4 linked regions of the Arabidopsis thaliana genome follow. The protein of the gene in region 3 interacts with the protein of the main gene of each other region in a pairwise test. Each region holds a gene or a part of one and is shown on either strand. Other genes may lie near its edges. The genes, in order: ABCI12, MHX, PTR6 and FACE2.

Region 1 (5,575 bases), on a different chromosome or scaffold from region 3:
CTGAACTCATCGGAACCGAATCTTCTCCTTTGATCAGGTTTGAGAGGCGGTTTCCGGTGAAAATGATTCCTCCGGGAGTTAAAAAAAGTCGCCGGAGAATCTCTCATCCGGTCAACCAAACAATTTTGAGGCCTGATAATTTCGGTTCCCATCTCTAAAGATAAAAACAAAAAAATTATAAAAAATGGCGCCGGAGGAATTCCCTTCGGCGGCTAATAAATAAAGAAGAAATCGTGGTGGTAGAAATGAGGGAGGAGGAAGAAGAAAAGGGTCAAATAGTCCTTTTCTTCGATTCCTGCTCGAAATTTTTGTAAATTGGTTAAAATCTACAAATAATCTAATTTATGAGTTTTTTTGCTGGTTAATGGAATACTGGAATAAATAGAAGAAATTAGAAGAGATGACAAAAATGGAGAAAATGGCTTCTCTGTCAGAGCTTCGTTTCCTCGTAACGATGCATCTGTAACCTAAACACATAATTCTATTTTTCTTTTTGTTTAATTTAGTTTGTTTCCCTGTCCGTTTTTCCATTTTTAAATTTGATTTTCCACAAATCTAATTTTTGCTGAATTAATGTAATGTTGCTCTATGGGATTAATCAAACAAGCATTGGACTACATATATTGACATGTTTTAAATGAGAACTGTAAATATGAACTAATTCCAATGACAAATCTTTTTCAAGCTGTGATGATGGAAACAAGTGATTGCTTCCAATGCAAGAAACTATATTGCCGAAATATAGTTTGAGTGTTTTTGGTAGAATTCAAGATTGATGTTGTTTATAGAAGCAAGCACGAGTGGCTTGGGAAGACATTGACCCGTTATTTTCTAGAAAAAGATGTGAGACACTGTTTTCGTCTGCCTTTGTCTCTTCTGGACACGAAAACCATATCAAATCACACAAGGGTGTACCAGACTTTATCGAGTGAGATTGAAGAGATCACGCCCTTGGTTGGCTTGGGATCATCTTTCTTAACTCTTTAAGTATAGATTGTATTTTTGACGTAATTTGAAAGAAGAAATGTGGCAATTTCTTACACTTTTTCTAAAGGGTATTTGTTTCATTAGGTATAATTTCTTCGTGCAAAAATAGAAAACTTTGTCTGTTAGTGTTAGGTTATTATAATGATGAAACACATTCACAAGACTTAAATGTATGGGTGACAACTAGTATGGATTCAGTCATCTCATGGAGCAAGTTCTCAACAGTGCAAACCATTAATCCGAGTTGGAATATGTTTGCTGATGGGATGAGTTTCTTGGTCGGCGAGCATAACAAAGTTGTATTGTGTTACCCTAACCGGACCCCCAACGAAATCTTACACATTGGGGAAGAAATTTATCACATACAACATTTGGATGATCATGATAGAGATTCTACCTCAAGATCATCTTTTCTTCTGAATTATGTTCCAAGTTTAGCTCGAATAAAGATTAGTATGAATCAATATTAGACAAGAAAGTATTCAGACAAGAGTGCGGTTGAGATTACACCGATTAAACACAAAACTGATGCAAAATCTGCAAACTTATTCGAAGAGCCAGAGAAGAAGTAGATCTTGTGGCTACTGCTCTCTCCTCTGAAGCCTCTAACAATCATGGCCTGCATGCACATAAATTACAAACTTCTTCAACAGAGAATTCTTATTTGATTCTCAAATCAATGAGATGATAATAAGTGAAATCTATTTGACCTGTGATATTTGTTCGGCATGACGAAATATATTCTTGAAGATGCGGCGTATGAATGACGCGAAAACTACAAAAAGCGATCACTTGTAAGATGAGATGTATATAGAAAGAGAGAAGAAACTTTTAGATTCTTACTATCAAGTGTCTCCAGAACAGTAAGCTGCTGCCAGTTTACTCTTCGCGATACAATTCCCAGTGAAACACTTCGGACCTACAATGTAACATATGCACAACGTACCATTATGTGGTTTAGGACTTGGAATAACTAGGCTGATTGATAATATTAAAGCGAATAAGTGAACAGTCGTTACCTCATCGAAAACCAAATTAATGAATCTCAGTGAAAGCAGTAGCGTGAGGATAATTTCACTGACTGGAACACCAATATATGTCAATGGGAACAAGAACCAACGTAGAGCTAGTGCAAGTTGCTCTGGTGTTGTTGTTGCAAGGCAAATACTAGCACTTTGGAAGATCTGTGACCAAAAACCAAATGTTCCATTAAGTGATCTAATCAAGAAAGGAAATAGGTAAACCGCGGAAGTCGAAAAACCGACTTACAATAAAGGTTAAGCATGCGGCTGTGCTTCCAACAGACAAACCTTTCCTTGTGAATTGCAAAGGACCAAGCTTCAGTAACATGTACGAATAACCGCTTAAAGACATGGGAAGATTAGGCAAGCTTGTGATTGAAGATGGTGGTGTTCTTGATTGAAGCATTGGAGGTGCACCATCTGAACCTAGCCCCAATGTTATGAAGAGAATACCCGAAAGAAGCGACACTCTCGCCAATTGATCCTTTACAGAAAAAGTTAGGAAACTCAGCAGAGCAGATAGATCACATATAGAAACAGAGTTGTGACAGAGAAACAGAACTCACTATCCAAACTTGTCTTGGGAGAACAAGGATTGACAAAAGAGCTGTGCATAGAACAAGTCCTAAACGCACAACTAGATTTGCTCTTGCTGGAAGAACTACTAGAGTTAATAGCCATACCTACACATATATACAAATACCAAAATTCAAGCTTTAACAAAAAAAAAAAGACTCAAACTTTTTAACAAAATTGGATTAGAAATTTGATAAGAATCAAGAATTCAATATACCAATTTGATTCTGGGATCCACCGAGTGGAGAAATGTCACAGGAGACGATATGAATTGTCCGATGGGACTTCCGGTGGCGCTTGAAATCAATCTGAAGACGTTTTCGGCTCCAAGTCCTGGAATTGGTAACCGGTTCACCCAATTACCGGTTTTACCGTCTCCGTCGACGGTGGCTCTGACAATGAAAACCCTTTTCGCGGCGAGAGAGGAGGAAGGAGTCTCATTAAGCCGGAGCGGGAAGAGAAGCTTAGGGTTTGTAAAGTTCCGGTTAGGAATTGGAGATGTGAGATGACGAATTGGGTGTTTGGGGATTAGGGTTACGGTGAGGGAGACTGTTGGATTGGCAAGATTGGAGTGATTCATGAGTTTTCAATTTCGGATTGGATCAGACATATGCCCTAGAGCGGGAAATTCTGTACTTGGTAGAGAGAGAGATACTGTAAACTGTCAAGTGTTAAACTGTTGTACTTGTTGGTTTTGTCGGACGTTGACTGTGGTTCTCAACTTCTCATAATAACAAAAGTCAAAGTATACCAAAATTTGGATTTCGGTTCTTGTTCGAATTTGATGTATATATAGACTCGTTTTGGATTTTCTCACACTCTTTTTGTATAAATCTTTTCTCGTAGAGTCATAGCCACACCAAAACCAAGATTAAGTAATTTGATACAATACAGCATATGAAAATGTAACTTAGCTTTTAAGATAGATAACATATTACTGCCTAGGAGCATTTTTGACAATTTTTGAGGTGATGGAAAAAGTTGGCTCGAGAGCTTTTTGAATATTCCAGGCGGTTCGGCCTAAGCTGCCCGTTGTTTCCAGTATTATTCCGGTGGTTTTTCCGGCTTTCTCTCCAAAACTTTGGTGCGGTCATCACAAAAATGTGAATATGTGTTACACTCAACTCAATAAATGTATAAAATTGTAAAATTCGATGGTCATGTAAACATGTTATATAACTCATCTAAACAATCCTAACAAATAAAAATGATAACCTATCTCTAAAAATCATTAGCTACCCCTCAAAACTATTTGGTAATTAATTATTAGATTGTATGCACGCTATACAATAATTCTACCAACTTCGATTTTATTTTCTACCGATATAATCATTCTTTTGATTCAAATACCGGTGTGTTACTATAGAAACATAATTCATTCTCAAAATTGAGGATCACAAAGTGAGCTTTTTACCTCTTACTCACAAGTCTAGTAGCAGCCATGGATGTGGCATAATGAGTTTGTATTTCTGCCGCTTCAGCAGCACCAATTATATTATCTATTGACCACATCAAAGTGTTTATCTGTTTTATTTAAATTTTGATCTCAAAAACTTCAAAATAAATGAATATGAGTATAGATTGACAATTAATGGAGCTATTCTATGTAACTTACGAAAAGAATCAAGTGATGCCAAGATAACCTCTCCTGGAGCAGTGGATAACAATGCCTTCCCTAACTTCGACTTAACCACCGGAGCTATCATCGAACTGCTCACCAAATCTCCACCTTCTAAGGCCGCCATTCCTATAGCCTCGCTCACCTTCCACAGCTTCTCCGCTCTATGTATATGTTACATCCAACAAAATAACCAAGATTTGGTTCATTATAAGAAGGAACAAGAACCAAGATTTTATTGTTTGGTATAATATATACTATTTTGTGGGATAGAGATTAAAATATGAATACCTTTGAAGATTTTTGTTGAGTTTATTCTTCTTATTAGTTTCATTGTTGCCACCTCCATCAATTTGTGATATGTCACCACTTCTTTCCTCATCCTCTTCAGCAATCGTTCCTTCCTCGTGAATCTGTTTTTGTTGTAAGAAAATAAAACGATATTAATAATAAAAAATACTACAATATGTGCGTCTTACATCTCCATGTTCATATAAAAGTTTTTAAAAATCCAACACAAAAATAAGATGATCTATACTAGTAAATAAAACACATAAGTCGTTCCACAAGTTGGGTTTGAATTGGAAGTTCATGATTCTTTACTACAACAAATATTTCGATTCAAATCACAATCATCTATTAACACTCATAAGCATCATGAGAGGGACTTATATGTATGAGACCTTCTTAGAGTAAGAATTGCTACAAGTGAAGATTCCCTTGATGATATGCCCTGTTCCTACCGCGATGGCCTTGGCTACACCATTTTTGTAGTCTTCAGCCTTCGGTGCAAACTTTTTCCAATCAATTTCATTGTTGTTCTTACCTGAAGTACTTGAAGATTTCTCCCCCATGATATCTCCAAGAAACTCAGGGTTTTCCATGATTTCTCCGTCTTCCCCTAAGAAACTCAAGGCTAGCTCCAACAGTTCGGATTTATCGACGATTTGGACTCCGTAATCGGGATTCTCCAACAAAACTTCTTCGTTCACCGCTTGGGCAGATTGGTTTTCTTGGGTTGATGTGGACATTGTGTCTTCTTTCTTAGTACAGTAGTACTTTTAAGTTTGGTTTATATGTGAGGCTCGTTCCTATATAATGTTGGATGATCGAAGGTAATGACGTAAACACTTACCATTTGATCATATTAATAACCAACAAAAATGTAAGACCATAAAATATGATCATATAGCTTGGTAGTGAAGAATAAGTAAAATTTTCTAGTTGTATAACTAGCAAGTTGTTTCAACAGAAGATGAGAGAATACCTTTTCTTAATATATGATTTCATCTATAGAAACAACTTCTAAATTTGACCATACGTGTTATGTTTTCCAAGACTTCATCAAGTTGCTTGTTTAACTGGTTTTTGT
Region 2 (6,760 bases), on a different chromosome or scaffold from region 3:
CAAGTGTTAATAGTAGTAGTGCTGTTTGAAGGTCCATGGATTCTTCTTAGGATCAATGAACGTTTCTCTTTAGGTCCAATATTCGTCTGCGGCTCTTACTGTCTTACACCTTCTCTTAGGAGTTAACATTTTGTTCTGCTCAGGAGGGGAAACCGACAATGGTTGGAGGAGAGACAGAGGCGTTGACTAGACTAAAGAGCTTTGCCGCGGATTGTCAGGCTCGGTTGAGCAAGGGAAACCAGAAAGGAGGCAACAACAGTGTCTTTGGTGCAAACTTCTCTTGCAAGATATCACCTTGGTTAGCCATGGGAAGCATCTCTCCTCGTTCCATGTTCGATGAGCTGAAGAAAACAATCTCCGCATCAACCACCTCCACAACTCCAAGGTAATGTCTCAGAAACGCAAAACACTTCAGGAAACTCTGGTGAACATAGTAAGTGTATGTGTCTAATTATCATTCTTTGAAATGATTTTCTCAGGAACGGACCGGGAGATACAGGACTCAACTGGTTAATGTATGAGTTGCTATGGAGGGATTTCTTCAGGTGAGCTCTTACTTTCTTAACTTGCCCCCTAGTAGAAATGTAGAATTTGTATTTTGTCTGATTCTCTCTTTGATGTGTGTTTAAACTTGGAACAGGTTTATAACCAAGAAATACAGCTCAGCGAAGACGCAGGTCGAGGCTGGTCCGGCTACAGCCTGTACCGGTGCCTTTGCTTAAACATTTGAAAACTTTCAGGTGACCGGAAAAGTTAGAAGCGACCTGTTTCTTTGCCCTACTCTGGTGTATGGTGGATTAATTTGCTATCCGGACAGGACTTTACTGCTCTCTTTTGAAACTTGAGTGTCAGGAGAATAAAATCTAAGCTTCTTTTTTTGGCTCAATCAAGTTGTCCGTTCCCTGTTCTAAACATTTCGGATACTCATTCCATAAAAAGTCTCTACAATTTGAGACGCTCTCCTTTGTGGTTAAGACTTGAGAATGTATCTTAGAAAATAACCGAAGTAGTTGTGTCTATGAATATTAAATTCAGGAATATTAAGATGTCACTAATATCAGAAGCAAGCAGCAACTAGAATATGCACTTCGTGGTAAATGGGCATTAGAAATTCTACAACACTTATTAAAGAACCGTACTAAACACTAGTTACTTGGATGAAAGTTACATATAAAAGTTTATATTAATCGACTAAGATTATTTGCTTGACTTTAGAGAAAGTTTGCATATATGTACCACAAATTGGTAACACTGCAAATAAAAAAACAAAAAAAACTGCAGGATAATGAAAATGTACTCCATATATGCACCTCCTAACTAGAGATGAAGCCTCCAAAATCATAGTCAATATGATTTATATTTGCAACACATATTTAGCCAACTGCCTTTGAACTTTGATAATTATATAAAACCCCCTTAACAAGTAAGAAAAACAAAAACTGAGACATGTGCAAGTAAGCTAAGACTTTTTCTTCTACTCATGGGGTTTTTCCTTTTGTTGCTTCTTCTATATGACGCCTGAAACTTTCAAAGAAGAAAGAACAACGAAGACGACCCAAAGCATCATGAAATAGGCAGAAGTAAGCCAAGCCCATAGCCTTGGACCTCCAAGCTCAGCTCCTATAATCAACCTTCTCAACACAAGCACCACGATACATCCCACTGATGTCGCAAAGAATATCAGAAGCGAAAAGCTTAATCCTTTAGCGTTTTCTATGTATAAAGGCTCTCTGTATGCAAAGTAGTTGTAGACTGTGTTTATCAGCCACGGAACTCCAATCCCCACATAGATGTTCACCGAGTTACTGCATAATTTATCACCAAAAAGATCATGAAAAGATCTTCAATGTTTGTAAAGGGTTTTGAGATTTTTACCTGCAGGTGATGTTTGCAATAGCTGAATCTGCGGTTAGTTGTCGCTCTGCAGCGATTTTACTTGCTACTAAGTCTGGCCATGAAGTTCCACTTGCGAGTGCTGTGAATGCTATCACATATGGGTTTATTCCTGCAAGATGAAAAGAGTTTCTAATGTTTTAGAGCTCAAATGTTTAATCTTATAACTTCAGTTTTTGAAAGCGGTGAGGGTGTGTACCAGTGACACAGCTTATAAGGTCAGTAAATCTTGTGACAACAAAGGCTACTCCACTGATGAAGAGGAGAGAGCAGATGAAAGCGATCCAACCGTGAGCAATGTTGCAGGGGGGCACAAATGCAAAAAGCAGTTTCCAAGGGGCGAGGAGTAAATGCCAGAAAGATTTCGCGATTCGAAGATAAATGCTATCCACTTTCTTTGATTCTGATGTTTCCAACTGTTTGATTACGAATAGGAAGAGAAACAAGTTAAGAAAGATGTGTTGATAATGATCAAAAGCCCAAAATAGGATATAGAAGAATCTAGAAAACACTTGGTAAGTTGAAGATTTTTACCGTTATTGCATCCACGAATTGATGTTTCCAAATGTCAAAAACAGTAGAATTCTTCGCCTTACCCTTCTTAGTCGCAGAATCGGGTGGAGTATCTGCCACAGTATGATAAGTGATCCCTGCAAAAGTGTTTGTTACAGGGAAAGTTTGATTTATAACAATATACTACCAGAGATAAATATGGGAATCACATAGATTTGGAAATAAGCAAATACGCTAAAACTGATCTTATATCAATAGAATAGACAGCCTAATCATACTTAGTACCTGTATCATTGTTAGCTGAATGAATAGAGAAGATATCAACAATGTTTCTGCTTCCCGATTCAACAGCATCTTGAGCAGCATCCGAATACACATCATGAACATCATTGTCATTGTCATCTTTGGATGTATCAATCTCCTCTGGAACCCACTCCTCTGGCCTATCACCTCTTGACCTGCAAGTATCAAATACAAACACAAAGATACAATCTTTAGTAGAAATCCATTTTGAAGGAACTAATATTATTGTCTGGAAAAGAAACCCACATTGGTAAAGACAAGTAAGGCCATCGCTTGTCTTGGGCGTACGCATGAACTAGAAGCAATCCGTATTGCAGTACTGTCAATAATGCCTCCACAAGTGTAATTACGTTTGGTGACCACACCTGTGAGACGTGAAAAGAAACAGATTTTTAGACCTTATCAGTATAGAGTATAGACTCAACAGAATCTGTTTAAACCGCTTTTCACAGTTACCTCGAGGATTATGTATAGCCAGATGTAAGCCCAAAAAGACCATACGAGCTCAACTAGCCAAACACCTAAGTCGGATATCTTTTTCAGTTCTCCAGCTTTTGGCACAACGACACAAACAGCGTGGATGGGGAAAAGATCAAATGCAGCTGAGCCAACAAGTGTTCCAGGACCAAGACCTATATGACAAAACATGATATAAGAATTCATGAACTTAAAAGTAAAAACTAGAGTTTTGGAAGGAAGAAAGGAACAACCACCAGACCTCCAGCATACCGCTCCCCCATATTCCGTATTGCATCGATGGTAGCCAAAGAAATCTGAGGGAAGCTAGTTCCAAACGCCAACAAACTGATGTCTGCAATAGTAAAGTTCCAAACTTTCTTGTATGTGATGACTTCAGCTTTAGTAATGGGATCAATTGTAACCACTTTACGGGAATGTTTCACGACATTCTCCATAGACTTGAAGAACCGTGCAGTGATGGCTGACAACCCAATAAAGCAGTAGGCAAGACCGAGAAAATATAACACACCCCTCAAACCATCTGACAAAGTGTTTTCTCCGGGGAATAGAAAGAAGTTTTCACATCTTAAATGCCCAAGAACCTTAGAAGATTCTTGCAACTCCTGGGTTTGATTAAGAATTGAGGCCATTGTAACTTATTCAAACCCCACCTCCTAATAAGTCAACTGAACACTTGTCCTCACTGGGGAAAAGAATCTGGCACACCAAAAAGAAGCTTACAACTTTTAGAAGAAACTGATGAAACCTGTAGCCTGATCGATCGAACAGTATCAAGAGGATGCGAAACAAACGGAACATGCAAAAAGATTTCTTTCCAGAGAATCTGTAACACAAACTAAACATTGCAAAGGATCCAATGGCATGTAACCGAAATCCAATCTATAACCAATGCTAATAACAATTGCATGTTCCACTGTATGCGTAATCAAAATCCAGAGGTAACCAGATCAAAAGATTATAACTTTCATCATGGGTTCAGTAAAACAAGTTGGGTTCTTTTCACAAAACCATAATTTTCAACGAACAAATCTCAACAAAAATAGCTAAAAAATAAGAAAAGAACAGATGAAACAGAGTGAGCCACGCGACGAAATTGATCAATGCGGACGTACCGGAGAATATCTCGGTGAGCGGCATTCACAATACGCCGATCACGGGAGAGATTTTCCGACAAACGGAAATCGAGAGGAGCTGATTGGAATCGGTCAAGCGTTGGATATTGCGGTGGAGACTTGGGAGCCATTTATACACATCTCTCTAATCTCTGCATGACACACTTCAATTATTGTATCGAAACGAGGATTCAAGCGTACATCGACCGACACGTGATCTTATCTAATTGGATGATTTACTTGACTAACTAGGATTAATTAATCTCGCCTTTCTTTGGTAAGGTTTAAGAATATGAGACCTCAATTGCAAGTTTTTTTTATATCTTTTTACTCCCTGAATTTTGTTTCATTTCATCCTTATAAGCATTAGATTTTAATTTCAACCTGAGTAATATTAGTTTTATCATCTCCTCGAGTTTAGATATTATCATAAACATATATCTTACTAAAAACCTGACCTGACTAATTTATTTTCTTTATAAAAGATAAACATGATAAATATGAAGTGTGAACGCATTATCAAATCAGAATTAGTGGATATATATGTATTTTGTTTTTTTCTGATTAAAAAAATTATTGAGATATATACAATTGAACTATGAGGACAAAAAATATATATATATATATATATCTTATTATATAAAGTATGGTTTTCAAAATTGACTTGGCACAGTGTCAAGTCAAACGATTAGATGTTTACATGTGTCATTCAAAATTTAACTTTTTTATTCTTTAAAAAAATAGAAAATCTTAAAAAGTAAACAAATTTACATATACTAATTTATATGTCTATATATTTATAAACAATTAACATTTATTCAACAAAAGCAAAATTAACAAATTTGTCTTTAACTCATGTAATCATAAGTGAAAATAGAACACTTTGAGAAAAATAGCTTAGCTTATAGGATTTAACTTTTCAATTATTTTCATTTATTAATTTTAACTCATTTAATATTAATTTGCATGATGTAAAATTAACTTACGAGATTACGTGGGTGATTGGTTTGTCTGTAACTGTAGATTTACTGCTGTAGAATTTTTGTTGTAGGTGTGATGACTGTAGCTGTAAGTTTTATTGCTGTAGAAATTAGACTGTAGGTTTTATTAATATAATTATTACTTAAAGAAATTGGGTAGAAATAAGATTTTGGTTGTATGTATTTTTAAACAAAAAAATATTATCGGGTCGGGTTCGGTTTGGGTTCGGGTTCGGGTTCGAGTTATTTATATATTGAAATATCAAATTTTGTGTGCAAATCTATTAAATTACTTGAAATTTTCAAAAATTCCCAAAACAACATGAGTAGTTTTGCTTGAATATATCTAAAAATACACAAAAATAACTAAAATATCCAAAAAAATTCTAATATTTTCTATATATAAGTATAAATATAACTAATATATACTTATATTTGAGATATGTTTGCATACCTATTCGGGTTTGGGTTTGAGTTTTTCGGGTTTTAAAGTTTATATCCGTTCGAGTATTTGAAAATTTCGGGTACACCCGCCTAAATAGGCGGACCTTATCTAGTATATATATACATTTGAACTATATTGTTTACTTTTTAGTTGATTTAGGCTATGTATGACATTGACATAAATCTACCTGTTATTTATCACGTGTAATTCGTGTAAAGTGTAAACTAGAAAGTTCAAATACGTATTTGTTTTTGTTCTGTTATATAGGATTGTCATAGTTGTAAATCTACAATTTATTACAACATGAATAAGTACACAAGCAATGTAATTGGATTTAATTGCTAAACTCTTTACATGGTCAATCTAAATTTGATAAGAAATACGTCACATATTACTAAGACTGATAGTTTTTTTGTTGTCACCAATTATTTTTGTTAAATTGACGAAAACAATTCCAAAAACTCAAATGTACAAAATCATACAGTCTCACAAACATCTCATAGAGAAAGATATAAATCTCCCATATGGGAACGATAACACGAGGTCGAAATACTATTCGTAAAACTAAAACGCCTTAGTTATAAATCGTTAGTTGTAACCGCGGTCGAGAATACATACAGATCCACGAAACTACTACTACACATGCTGCTGAATTGGAATTTGGAAAAGACCATCTTCTTTAGGAAGAGCTCACCCAATGAGTGACAAAGGTGTCGGTGGCTTGTTTTCTACCCATATGTATACATCAAATGGTAGTTTCATTAACGTTTGGTTTTGAGAAAAGTAAGACTTTGGCTAGTAGCTAGGTTCGTATATAATAAACTCTTTTGAGAAAGTTCATCACTGGTGGAAAATGTTAAACCGGTTTTTTCTCATTTTTTCCGCCATGTTAACCACCGGTTTAAAAAGACCGTAACACATTGAAAGATTAATAAGGGTATATTTGTAATTACGGTTTGCTGGCAATTTTTAATTATTATTTTAATTAGAGAAAATAGAGAAGCCCTATCAATGTACATGGTATATATATAAAA
Region 3 (5,940 bases):
AATTATTTGTTTTGTCATACAAAAGAGATTAATGTGACTTTGTAGAGAATATTTATACGTACATATAAGCCTAAGCATGATCACTTACGCTTTATAATGTTTCAAGGCTTTGCACCACTCCCACCGTTGCTACCATCTTCACTCACCTTTGCATTGATGACAAATCTCGTTTCAAAGTTTTTAGTAGTAAAAAGAACTTCGCTTTGTACGTTGGTACCGACTCCCATAACGGAAACACTAGGTTTTCCAGTGTTGTTAGTGGCAAGAGTTGCTTCACCTTCACGTAGAGGAGCTGGTCTTAAAACGCCATTAAGAGGAGCTTTGGTGCCAATAGTGGCTCCACTTTCTTTGATGGGAGAAACTCCTACAATGACACCAATAACAGGAGTTTTAGTGCCATTAGTGGATCCGCCTTCTGTTACATGAGACGGAGCAACTCCTCTAATGCCACCACTAAGAGGAGCTTTGGTGCCATTTGTGGCTCCACCAGTAACATTGTTAGTAGAGTTTCCAATTGGCTGTTTTTTATTCATGAGTTTGGTATTATTGGCCATTCCTCCGATCTTACGTGCTCCAACATTACCACTCAAAGCTGCAATGAATACCACCACAAGTAACTTGATGATATTCATCGTTTTTGGCTCTAATTTTTTTTTATAATCTAAGATAATATTTTGTTTGTGTAGCTTTGAGATTGTGTTCCTAATATCATTCCCACATGTATATAAATAATGTGTATTTTGTACTTACTTAGAGAGAAATACATAGATGTGAAGAGAGTTTTATACGTTTTAATAATCATTCATTATCTTATAGTGACAAATAATGACTCTTCTTCGCTTCATTGAAATTTCAGAGATGCAATGTCCACAAGAATCATGCACACTTGAGCCGTTTAACGTGTGTTGATTCAGATGGATGACTATGCGAAAGTATAGCTACAAAATCACCTAACAGTCAAAATTTAAAATAATTTTCCAACATAAATGTTTCGTATCGTGGAAAGTATAACTTTCTTTTAAAACAAAGACGGTGATTGCATTAACTCGTACCAAATCAATACCATGGGCAACTTAGAGCATGTCCAACGGTTAAGGCCCTAAAAATTTCTAAAAAGACAAAAAAATAGATTTTATTTTAATAGTTATAATCTATTTTTTTAATACAGATAGACCAGTAATAAAAATACATGTGTTATTTTGTTTGTGAGCTCGTCCCTTACTTACGGGTTTTAAGAGTTTCTCTCTCATGTTCCTACTAACTTTTGATTATTTTTTACTTTTTTTATTGTTAGGGCCTCACCTAAAAGCCTCCGGTTGGGGATGGTCTTTAATGCATTAACTTTCAAATCAATATGGGATTGCATTCACTTTCTTTTTGGGTCTTCAAAAAGTTCAAAAACCTCAAGTAATTTCCCTACTTAAATTATCCTTAAAATCTGAAAAAAGAGATTAATCAACTTCTTAAATTCTTCTTATGGTTTTGGTTTACTTTTACTTTTTTTGGCATATGATTTATTTATTAACATTGAAAATAAAATAAAAACAACTTAAAAAGTTGGGTTTAAGTTTTTTTTTGAGCTTTAACACTTGAAGAATGAAATCATAAGACTTTTAAGTTATAAAATCGAATATGGACTTAAATATATCCGGATATCCGTTATCCGGTTCAAATTCTCGGATTATTCGTATCTATATCTTTATTCGGACTATCCGTCGTTTTACTATCTGCATATGTTGGCCGGCTATCCGTTTGTTTGGATAAAAATCCGTGGTAAAATATATTAACCTCATGCGTACTTTGGTCTACTAATAATTAGACTATAAATATTATTCTAATTTTTTGGTGTGTTATTATTGGAGTTGTCTCCTACCAAACAAAAATGCGAAAAGAGTCAATTTTGAATTTTGATCATTTTGATAAAAAGTAAAAGAATCGTTTTATTAAATATTTTTAAATGATCTTTTTTTTTCAAAATCAATCAAACCCGTTATATCTAGATATCTATTAACCGGCCTAAATTCTAGGATTATTTGTATCCGTCGTTTAACTATTCGTATATCTGGCCGGCTATCCGTTTGTTTGGTTCAAAAACCGGATACGGATATCCACGGTTTAAATAGATTAACCTCATGCCTACCTACTTTTGGTATTCTAATAATTAGACTATTCTAATTTTCTGGTGTGCTATTGTTGGAGTTGTCTCCTAAAAAAAATGCAAAGAAGAGTCAATTTTGATCATTTAAAAATATTTAATAAAAACAATTCCTTTAGTTTAATTGGTATACTGGGCCATCAATGGGACCGACCACCAAGAGTTGTGCAAGCAATCGGATTATTTAGCGTTTTTGATGAGTTCCAGTAATCTATTTGCTTTTCTCAATAGCTTTAAAATGGTGAATTCGAATGAAGAAGACGAAAGGAGAATTCTTGACGTTGAAGAATCTCTTCTTACACAGGTTTCGACTTAAATCTATCAATTTGCGTTTGCCAATTTCTCTCCATTTATTTACCCCTTGACATCTTTCTAATTATAGCTATACTTTCAATTTTTAGAATCCACTATGTTCAAGATTCTAACCACAAAAATCCAATCTTTTTTTTGTCTGAATATCTCAGGAGGAAGTGAACAATCACTTGACCGGATTGTCTTCTACAGCTGAAGATGGTTCTATTGACATTTATGGAAACCCACCATCGAAGAAGAAGACAGGAAACTGGAAAGCTTGTCCCTTTATTCTTGGTAAACAAAAAAAAAAGATAAAAAAAAAATTCTTGTTTTATCAGTACTTATATATAACCTCCAAATTTGGTCTCAATGTACAGGAAACGAATGTTGTGAGAGATTAGCTTACTATGGAATTGCCAAGAATCTAATCACTTACTACACAAGTGAATTACACGAGTCCAATGTTTCTGCAGCTAGTGACGTTATGATTTGGCAAGGAACTTGCTATATCACACCTCTCATTGGAGCTGTTATAGCTGATTCTTACTGGGGAAGATACTGGACCATTGCTTCTTTCTCTGCTATTTATTTCATTGTAAGACTAATCAATCTCTTTGGATACTTGCATTTGTTTGTTTAGGTGATTTGCATAGTTAGTTAATCTTGGTTTTTGAATTTAGGGAATGGCTTTGTTGACACTCTCGGCTTCACTTCCGGTTTTAAAGCCAGCGGCATGTGCTGGCGTTGCTGCGGCTCTATGCTCACCAGCAACAACGGTTCAGTATGCGGTTTTCTTTACAGGGCTTTACCTTATTGCTCTTGGTACTGGAGGTATCAAACCATGTGTATCATCTTTTGGTGCTGATCAGTTTGATGATACTGACCCGAGGGAACGAGTTAGAAAAGCTTCTTTCTTTAACTGGTTTTACTTCTCCATCAACATTGGTTCATTTATCTCATCCACTTTGTTAGTTTGGGTTCAAGAAAATGTCGGGTGGGGACTCGGTTTCTTGATTCCCACCGTGTTTATGGGAGTCTCTATTGCGAGTTTCTTCATTGGAACTCCGCTTTATCGGTTTCAGAAACCGGGAGGTAGTCCGATTACTAGAGTTTGCCAAGTTCTTGTAGCTGCATACCGTAAATTGAAGCTTAATCTCCCTGAAGATATCTCATTTCTGTATGAAACACGAGAGAAAAACTCCATGATTGCTGGAAGCAGGAAGATTCAACACACTGACGGTTACAAGAAAATACCTGTCCCCTTTCAGTTTCTCATTTTGAGCTTTTGGAAATGTTCATCGGAACATAAACCTTTGTTTTTATATCTGTGCAGGTTTCTTGACAAAGCTGCTGTTATCTCAGAATATGAATCTAAATCCGGTGCTTTTTCCAACCCATGGAAGCTATGTACTGTAACTCAAGTCGAAGAAGTTAAGACTCTAATCCGTATGTTTCCAATCTGGGCCTCGGGGATCGTCTACTCGGTCCTATATTCACAGATTTCCACTCTATTCGTGCAACAAGGACGGTCCATGAACCGAATAATCCGTTCTTTCGAGATCCCTCCTGCTTCATTCGGGGTTTTCGACACACTTATCGTGCTCATATCCATCCCAATATATGACCGTTTCCTCGTACCCTTTGTAAGACGGTTCACAGGGATACCAAAAGGGTTAACTGATCTGCAGCGAATGGGCATTGGTCTTTTTCTCTCTGTCCTAAGCATTGCAGCTGCAGCTATTGTTGAGACAGTGCGGTTGCAGCTTGCTCAAGACTTTGTTGCAATGAGCATATTTTGGCAGATCCCTCAGTACATACTAATGGGAATAGCAGAGGTCTTTTTCTTCATTGGTCGAGTTGAGTTTTTCTATGATGAATCTCCTGATGCAATGAGAAGTGTATGCAGCGCTTTGGCACTACTCAATACCGCAGTCGGAAGCTACCTGAGCTCGTTGATCCTCACTCTTGTGGCGTATTTCACAGCTCTTGGAGGTAAAGATGGTTGGGTTCCAGACGACCTTAATAAAGGACATCTTGACTACTTCTTCTGGCTTTTGGTCTCTCTTGGACTTGTCAACATTCCTGTTTATGCCTTGATTTGTGTTAAGCACACAAAGAAGAAGGCTTTGTAAGCTATTTTTGTAACAAGCTATGTTGTTTTGGTTCATCATATTCATGGTATACTCTGTATATTGTAATCTGTACTAGTAGATTTTCTTAAAAATATGAATAATGTTTCCGCCATGTAAAAAGAGACTAGAAAGGTTATTTGTAAAAAGTAGTAGTTCAGGTTATTGAAGTTTGCATGCTTACGAAAGATCATCAACAATGGAGGTTTAATCAGCTTACAAGATCTGATACTTAAACCTAATACATGCTCTTTATTCGACACACTCATACATATTCAGATATTCTTTAAATCTTTGTAAAGAAATTAGTCTCGGTTTCTTCTGTCCAGTCAGAGTTTGGCTCGTTCCACGAGTTTGGTCTCACACCGAACTGGAAAAACAACGCCATCTCCAATGCCTTAAATAAGTTACTTTCGTCCAAAACTTTGTTCCATGCCCCACTCACTACACAGTAGTTGCTGTTATACGGTGCTTGGTGATGTCCCGGGTGATCTTTCCGTGAGACAAGCAGTCCCATGTCCTGCAACGCCATCACGAGAGGTGGAAGCTTGCTCTTGGTTCCATGAGCCCAAGCATGGAATTGTTGGCTTAACAAAATGCAAAATGCAAATGTGCTCACAAAGCTATGAAACAGAGGATTGTTAATTGCAAGGTTTAGTGGTAGAACTATAAAAGTTATGGCTCGAGCGATAGTGTATGAATTGTTGGCGAATTGACGTTTTGTGATTGTCCAGGGATACTTGTGATGACCCTGAGACGCTTCAAGTTGGGCTCCAACTATAGGTGTTGATGCACCACCATAGTTATCAATGGCCCAGTGGTAAACACCGGAGCCTAGATCAGCAAACACGTACCCTGCATAACACGCTAAAGCTGGTTGGAGCCAAAGATGAGAACCAAACCCTCCAATGATAGATTTAGCGAAAGAGGCAAATATGGTTGTACTTCCCGCTGCAACCCATAACCGATGAGTCCATGTCGATTGCAGAGTCGGGTCGTTGTTCTTGGAAAGAGGAGGATTCACAAGGCGTTTCTCAACTACAAGGTTCTCATGATTAAGCTGAGGATTGGTGGTAGTAACAGAGCATGTGACACGTACACGCGTTGGACCATAGCTTCTTGGGATGTTGGTGATGGGTCTTAGAGGGTTCTTGGTTTGAAATGATACAGCCATTGAGAGAGATTAGAGGTCAAAGATATCAAAATTATTGTTTTTGGCAAAGATAGATGAAGCGATCACGATATATAGTGGCAGAGATAAACCAGAGTTATATTGTAGCATGTGGCCATGTGGGTACGTCAGAGATTTATGGGGGGGAAATTATGATCAAATACATCATATAACAATAATTTATCTATCAA
Region 4 (5,822 bases), on a different chromosome or scaffold from region 3:
TAAAGTAGTGATAAGGTCCATAAGGATATCAGAAGATACGAAAAAGTGTTTAGGAGAACATAGGTTTACCACCAATTTTAAATCACGTGATCAAAGTTGTATCCTATTGACTGTATCATATTAAAACGTCATTTATTACCTCCTTTACAAAAAAACAAATATTTCTTAATGAAATTTTGTGGTGTATTTTGCGATGATAAATTTAAAATGTAAGGTAAATAAATATTTTGAATTTTACTCACTTATTTATAATATAAATAAATAAACGTAAATTAACATAATTTTGCAAATTTTTAGTATTAGTGAAAATTTAGTTGATTTTTCTTTTTGTATTAGTTCCCTTTTTTTAACGGTTTGTATTAGTTCAAATACCAGCAATATTTATGCTCTCTATTATAAAAGCTCAACTTACAACTATAAAATAAGAATAGGATTTATGAATAGATCATAATAGTATTGGTCTTCATCTTTTTAAAACTATCCACATAAACAATAGTAATGAATCTCACTAGATAGTAGTAGTGTATAGTTTGGGTAAAATACATTTTAGAGTAGATTACTGCATATTGGTTTTGTCGAGGATGATTTTCCGGTTCAACAAATTCTGTTATATGCAAGCATAATCAACCACATCTTCTTTATGAAGAGATCCTCTCCCGTTAAATCACCGTTTACTTCACACAAACACAATATATGTGTAGTGTACAGATAATTTATTGACCATAAATTCAACTATCCAAGCTTCAAATTTCGTAGGAATATGACATAGTAATCAAGTGGTGGTGAGAAAATTACTGAGAGACCTACGAATCCTAGAAACATAATTTTCGTAACTCCTAAGTGAAAATCATCATCATAAACTCAGACTTTGAAAGTCAACTTTGAAATATAATTTTCAGAAAATTATATCCGTTTGATGATTACCCCCAAAATCTCTTTGGATGATCATCAAGCAAGACATCATCTTCTGAATCTCTGATGTAAGATTATGGACCTATGTTCAATTTCTAATCATTGTTTCTCTATTTTTATATATAAATCAAATGAATTTTGGCGTGTTGACATTGGACAATATAGTTTAGGTTAGACTTGGGGATGTAGATCATCCTTCTTCCTGTCCCTCCTAGGATAGCAAGAGAATCATTAGGGATAATACCGGAAAAAAATGGACAATTAGCCAACACTAATTTTGGAGACTTGAACCAATTATTATTATTATTATATATTTACAAGGAAAAAACTACATAAACTATCAAGAAACATTAGCTTGCAGTAAAAGACCATAATTCCAATATTGTGTCAAAAAATAGATTCTAAGACATGATGATATATAAAAAAAAACTTGGAGAAGTGTCAATTCCACAAACAATAGCCAAGCCAACACGGACAATCGTTGGTACTATCGTTGTACATGAGAGGCTTTGTTAAAGGAAAGAGAAGTAAGACGAACCCAACCACACCGCCTAAGAACGCTGCACTCACCAAACCTGAGAGAAGAACCATAACCATGTTTAGCTTATTCTTTTGCATTTGCATTTGTTAACAACCTTGAACTTTATGTCTTACCTTTTCCATTTGCGTATAGCACAGGCAATCCCATGTAGTTGCAAAATATATGAGCAAACAAAGGAGCAGCAAGATGTCCTGTAAAATTTACACAATGCAGGAGACAATCATCCATTAGAAAGGCTTTTACATGTATAAGATATATAAATGCCTGGAATGTTACCGGTTCTGATGAAGAGAAACGATGCATATGCACCAAAAATGACTGTGTAGCCAAGCTGAAGACCTGATCAACGGACAAGTGAAGCTCAGGACTGATCAACAAACAATATTATTATGATTATGGATGGCAAAGACATACCAACAATAAGTGAAGCCCGGAGATAGCTGCGGTTATGCCTGATGTACATCTCTCTAAAATGGTTTAAGTGAGCTACACAAAACATATAAAAGTCAGACAAATCCAGTAATTTTCTTTTCACTCGAGTTGTAAACTGTTATTCACAGAGAGAGAGAGAGAGAGAAAGAAACAAACCCAAGCTAAAGAGAACTGGGCACAGAAAGATGGCAGTGTTAATCCTAAACCCAGCACACAGAAGCAAAGGTATCATACATGATCGGAAAACCAGCTCCTCAGTTACTGGTGCCTGCAAATCATAAGAAACGCCAGCTCTAACAGATTATAACTTGTTCGATTTAGAACTTACTTATACACCAAACTGATGCATATAGTCCTCAGACAATTAGCAAGCAATGCCTTATGCAATTTCAATAAAGAATTGACAAGATAAGCACACAGAGATGGCAAACATATGATTACCACGATAAAATTGCGCCAAACGGAAACATTAGAAGCACTTGTCAATACCGAAGCAGGGATTGTTTGGAAAAAGCTTCTGATGTAATTAAAGGAACTACATCCTCCGCCATTTTCCTTCCATGATTCCAGGAGAGTAAACAACTTCAACACCAAAGACCCAGCATAAACGAGCGAGGTCAATAGAAGAGGATACACCACTCCTTGCCACTGTTCCATATCACAAAACATAACCATTTTAATATGAATAGTGTACAATAAGCTACGAGTAAACAAATTGAGACAAAGAACTTACCAGATGATCTTTCCTTATGCCATAAACTCCAAGTATATAAGAGGCCTCCCAGCTTTTTATCTAACATTACTCAAGCAAAAAAGGAAGACAAGTTTCAGAGATTCCTGTAACTAGCGTTGAATTGTACCAAACACAACATAGTCACCAATATTTGAGTGTTACATTCTTAGAGACAAATTGTGTGAACCTACAACAACTAGTAAAAGCTAATTCAACTCTCAACAAAGTTACAAATACATCAAATTTCTTTACTTTTAGTTTAACTTTCATCAAAACACCAAATGCATCTAGATTTGGACCTAATTTGGTTACAGATCAACGGAGAATGAACTTCAAATCGAGAAATGGCGGTACTCAAAGAAGCTTACCGGAAGTATAAAAGCTGTGAAGACGAGAGATGCTACAGTACAAATGGCCGCGCAGATGAATCGCCGAATCATGAATTCGGTGTAAGAAGAAGCCGACGGGAGACGGAGTATCACGGTGGGAACGTAAAGGATCAAAACGTAGAATAGTGCCATCGCGACGCAGGTAGCCACCGCCAACGACATCGAGATACTCTCGCCATCGGTGGCCATAATCGTTGAGGAAGCTCCGGCGAAGAAATATACCGGCTAATAAGTGTCGAAGTCACCGCTGGTTAAATCTTAGTCCGGCGGTCTTCTAATCTTTAACCAATTACATCGTGCCACGTTATAGACTAAAACGGATGACTACTGGGCCGAACAGACCCATTGGGCCAATTTCGTTTATAAAAGAGGGTATAACGGTAATATCATCAGAAGATATACGTCACCATGCCAGTTTCGAAGAAGCCTATTGGTTATATTTCGTCATTAACTAGACGGAATGACGAAACTACCCTCAGATGCCTTCTTCTAAAGTTGTCTCTTCACTGTCAAGAAGAAGAAGAGAACAAAAAAAAGAAAGGAATTTTCTCTGAAACGTCACGAACGTGTGAATTGGGTTAAAAAATTCATCTCATTGATCCAAACTTGAAACCCTAATTTCGAATCTCTTTGCTGATTTGGTGAGATCTCAATTTCGGAAAGAAGATGACGAAGGATTTCGCAGTTCCACCTGTAGTTTTCCCCTCCGGTGGATCTTCAGGCGGTGCTAATGTCCAGCAACGAAGATTCCCAGCGACACCGTTTCAACCGCCGCGTCCCTCTTCTTCCGCAATCCCTTTCATGTCATTCGACATTGGATCCGCAGCCGCGTCTTCCGCTACACCTGCCGGACCATTCGGCGGGACAATCGCTTCCTCTTCTTCTTTTGGTGGAGGTTCAGCTTCGTTTGAAGATGAGGAGCCATTACTCGACGAGCTCGGTATCCATCCAGATCAAATCTGGAAGAAGACTAGATCGATTCTCAATCCTTTTCGGATTAACCAAGCTGTTCACAAAGATTCAGATCTATCTGGTCCGATCTTTCTGTACCTTGCGCTTTGCTTATTTCAGTTGTTAGCTGGTAAGATCCAGTTCGGTGTCATACTTGGATGGATCGTCGTCTCCTCTATCTTTCTATACGTCGTCTTTAACATGCTTGCTGGTAGAAATGGGAACCTTAATCTCCATACGTGTACGAGCTTGGTCGGATACTGTTTGCTTCCGGTGGTGGTTTTATCGGCGGTGTCATTGTTCGTTCCCCAGGGAGCAGGGCCGGTTCGGTTTGTGCTTGCGGCTTTGTTTGTGTTGTGGTCCACTAGAGCCTGCTCTACATTGGTGGTATCTCTTGCTGATGGTGGAGAAGAGCACCGTGGCTTGATCGCGTACGCTTGTTTCTTGATCTATACTCTCTTCTCTCTTCTTGTTATATTTTGATTCCATATTGATAGATCGTGAATCACTTCCGATGCTGTGTTAGCAAGTAGCAAAAAAAGGCTGCAATATAAGTTCTTTGATGTGAGGTTGAATTGGGTGGGAATAGCACGGTGTGTAAAGGCTTTTTTGGATAAATTTAGAAAGGTGTTTAAGAAATTTGATTCAATGTTTGTATCTGTCACTTGATCTTTAAGGTTCTTACTTAAGAATTATTTATACAATTTGGTCGATATGTCTTTTGACATAGTTTGTTCCTGGACATTAGATTTGTGAGAGTATTGGAATTGATGTTGCGGATGATATGCTTCTGTACTAATGCAGAAGAGGTTTATATGCTTCCTATTTCATGTTTATTTTGCTATTTACTTTCCCGGTGTGAGGCTATGAAGATGTGCTGACTTCTTGCTTGGATTATACTTAAAGGTCCCAAGTTTTAGGAATGATTGGCATTAGATTTGCTTAAAGTATGGCTCCATGTAGGTAGAGTAGAATTTTGAGTTGGTTTTAGAGCTGTTGGAAACTTAGGCATAGTCTAATGAAAGAGTGATTAGTATTTAGTGGTTTGCTCGGTGTTGGTATGTTCCCTGATTAGGTGGCATAGATAAGTAGGGACATGGGATCTTGGCTTCAGGTTCGTCTTCTACTGTCAATCCCAGAACTGCACTTACTTTTCCTGATAGTATTTGCTGTGTCACGGAAATTAGAGAGAGATTTATCCGCAATTCATACTCTCTTAGATGGAATTTGTTTTAATGTGTCGAGAAGAATCAGCTATGTCCAATTGAGTGAGCATAGTATTTGTCAGCTTTACCTTCTCCTAAAACATTCAGTAGAACTGGTGTTAGAAATGATCTCTATATTTTCGTGTTGCAACACTCGTTCCGAGGGAACCATTTTTGTGTTCCACCTTTTCTTTAGAATCCAAATTGACTCAAAGGGGAGTAGGCAATTGTTTTAAACATACAATGTAAAGATGTAAAATTTCTGATATATCTGGTGGATGTACTTAAGACATACCCTACAATTTCGATCCTTGGACTCAATTGAAACCAAACTTTTAGGCGGCTTGGTCTCTCCCTTACCAGGATCTTGTCAAAGGAAACCATATATACTCATACTCACCTAGTTCTTCCATGATATCCAGATAGTGATAAACCATCTGATTAAACACTCGTAACACTTGCATATATTGACAAGATTATCTCTCAAGTGTCTATAAGATACGTATTTGTGTTTCAAGGTAAAATTGTAAGATATACATCTGATTAAGTATTCTTACTCTCAATTCTTTGATTATCAACATAGAGAACCCCTCTAGACCAAACCAAATCACTCCAACCTCTTGATGTTGCCGGTACGGCATTAGAGATTTCGGCAGCTG

The links.
Region 1: the proteins of PTR6 (region 3) and ABCI12 interact in a protein complementation assay, tested with the Arabidopsis thaliana proteins (one large-scale study listed by BioGRID).
Region 2: the proteins of PTR6 (region 3) and MHX interact in a protein complementation assay, tested with the Arabidopsis thaliana proteins (one large-scale study listed by BioGRID).
Region 4: the proteins of PTR6 (region 3) and FACE2 interact in a protein complementation assay, tested with the Arabidopsis thaliana proteins (one large-scale study listed by BioGRID).

Annotation. Positions count from the first base shown.
Region 1 is NC_003074.8:7,600,556-7,606,130, forward strand, and holds ABCI12 (cobalt ion transmembrane transporter), read right to left. Parts: upstream 3,345-5,575; 5' UTR 3,166-3,344; coding exon 2,803-3,165; intron 2,693-2,802; coding exon 2,576-2,692; intron 2,494-2,575; coding exon 2,257-2,493; intron 2,172-2,256; coding exon 2,007-2,171; intron 1,907-2,006; coding exon 1,831-1,906; intron 1,763-1,830; coding exon 1,698-1,762; intron 1,607-1,697; coding exon 1,454-1,606; 3' UTR 1,267-1,453; downstream 1-1,266. Other genes in the region: AT3G21570 (proline-rich nuclear receptor coactivator), read right to left, coding at 1-152; AT3G21590 (Senescence/dehydration-associated protein-like protein), read right to left, coding at 3,996-4,084, 4,201-4,367, 4,495-4,616, 4,887-4,960, 5,030-5,234.
Region 2 is NC_003071.7:19,523,011-19,529,770, forward strand, and holds MHX (magnesium/proton exchanger), read right to left. Parts: upstream 4,571-6,760; 5' UTR 4,302-4,570; intron 3,886-4,301; 5' UTR 3,819-3,885; coding exon 3,428-3,818; intron 3,342-3,427; coding exon 3,166-3,341; intron 3,075-3,165; coding exon 2,956-3,074; intron 2,865-2,955; coding exon 2,692-2,864; intron 2,544-2,691; coding exon 2,428-2,543; intron 2,310-2,427; coding exon 2,093-2,309; intron 2,006-2,092; coding exon 1,876-2,005; intron 1,806-1,875; coding exon 1,508-1,805; 3' UTR 1,107-1,507; downstream 1-1,106. Other genes in the region: PHR2 (photolyase/blue-light receptor 2), read left to right, coding at 144-385, 480-545, 641-722.
Region 3 is NC_003070.9:22,980,788-22,986,727, reverse strand, and holds PTR6 (Major facilitator superfamily protein), read left to right. Parts: upstream 1-2,305; 5' UTR 2,306-2,351; coding exon 2,352-2,459; intron 2,460-2,619; coding exon 2,620-2,743; intron 2,744-2,826; coding exon 2,827-3,044; intron 3,045-3,129; coding exon 3,130-4,581; 3' UTR 4,582-4,783; downstream 4,784-5,940. Other genes in the region: AT1G62210 (uncharacterized protein), read right to left, coding at 102-632; AT1G62190 (Kua-ubiquitin conjugating enzyme hybrid localization domain-containing protein), read right to left, coding at 4,865-5,752.
Region 4 is NC_003071.7:15,211,981-15,217,802, reverse strand, and holds FACE2 (farnesylated protein-converting enzyme 2), read right to left. Parts: upstream 3,418-5,822; 5' UTR 3,197-3,417; coding exon 2,987-3,196; intron 2,679-2,986; coding exon 2,619-2,678; intron 2,534-2,618; coding exon 2,327-2,533; intron 2,154-2,326; coding exon 2,042-2,153; intron 1,940-2,041; coding exon 1,868-1,939; intron 1,793-1,867; coding exon 1,730-1,792; coding exon of another isoform or gene 1,674-1,729; exon of another isoform or gene 1,645-1,673; coding exon 1,567-1,644; intron 1,488-1,566; coding exon 1,354-1,487; 3' UTR 1,190-1,353; downstream 1-1,189. Other genes in the region: AT2G36300 (Integral membrane Yip1 family protein), read left to right, coding at 3,674-4,441; AT2G36295 (uncharacterized protein), read right to left, coding at 5,707-5,822. UniProt on the Arabidopsis thaliana protein: Protease involved in the processing of a variety of prenylated proteins containing the C-terminal CAAX motif, where C is a cysteine modified with an isoprenoid lipid, A is an aliphatic amino acid and X is any C-terminal amino acid.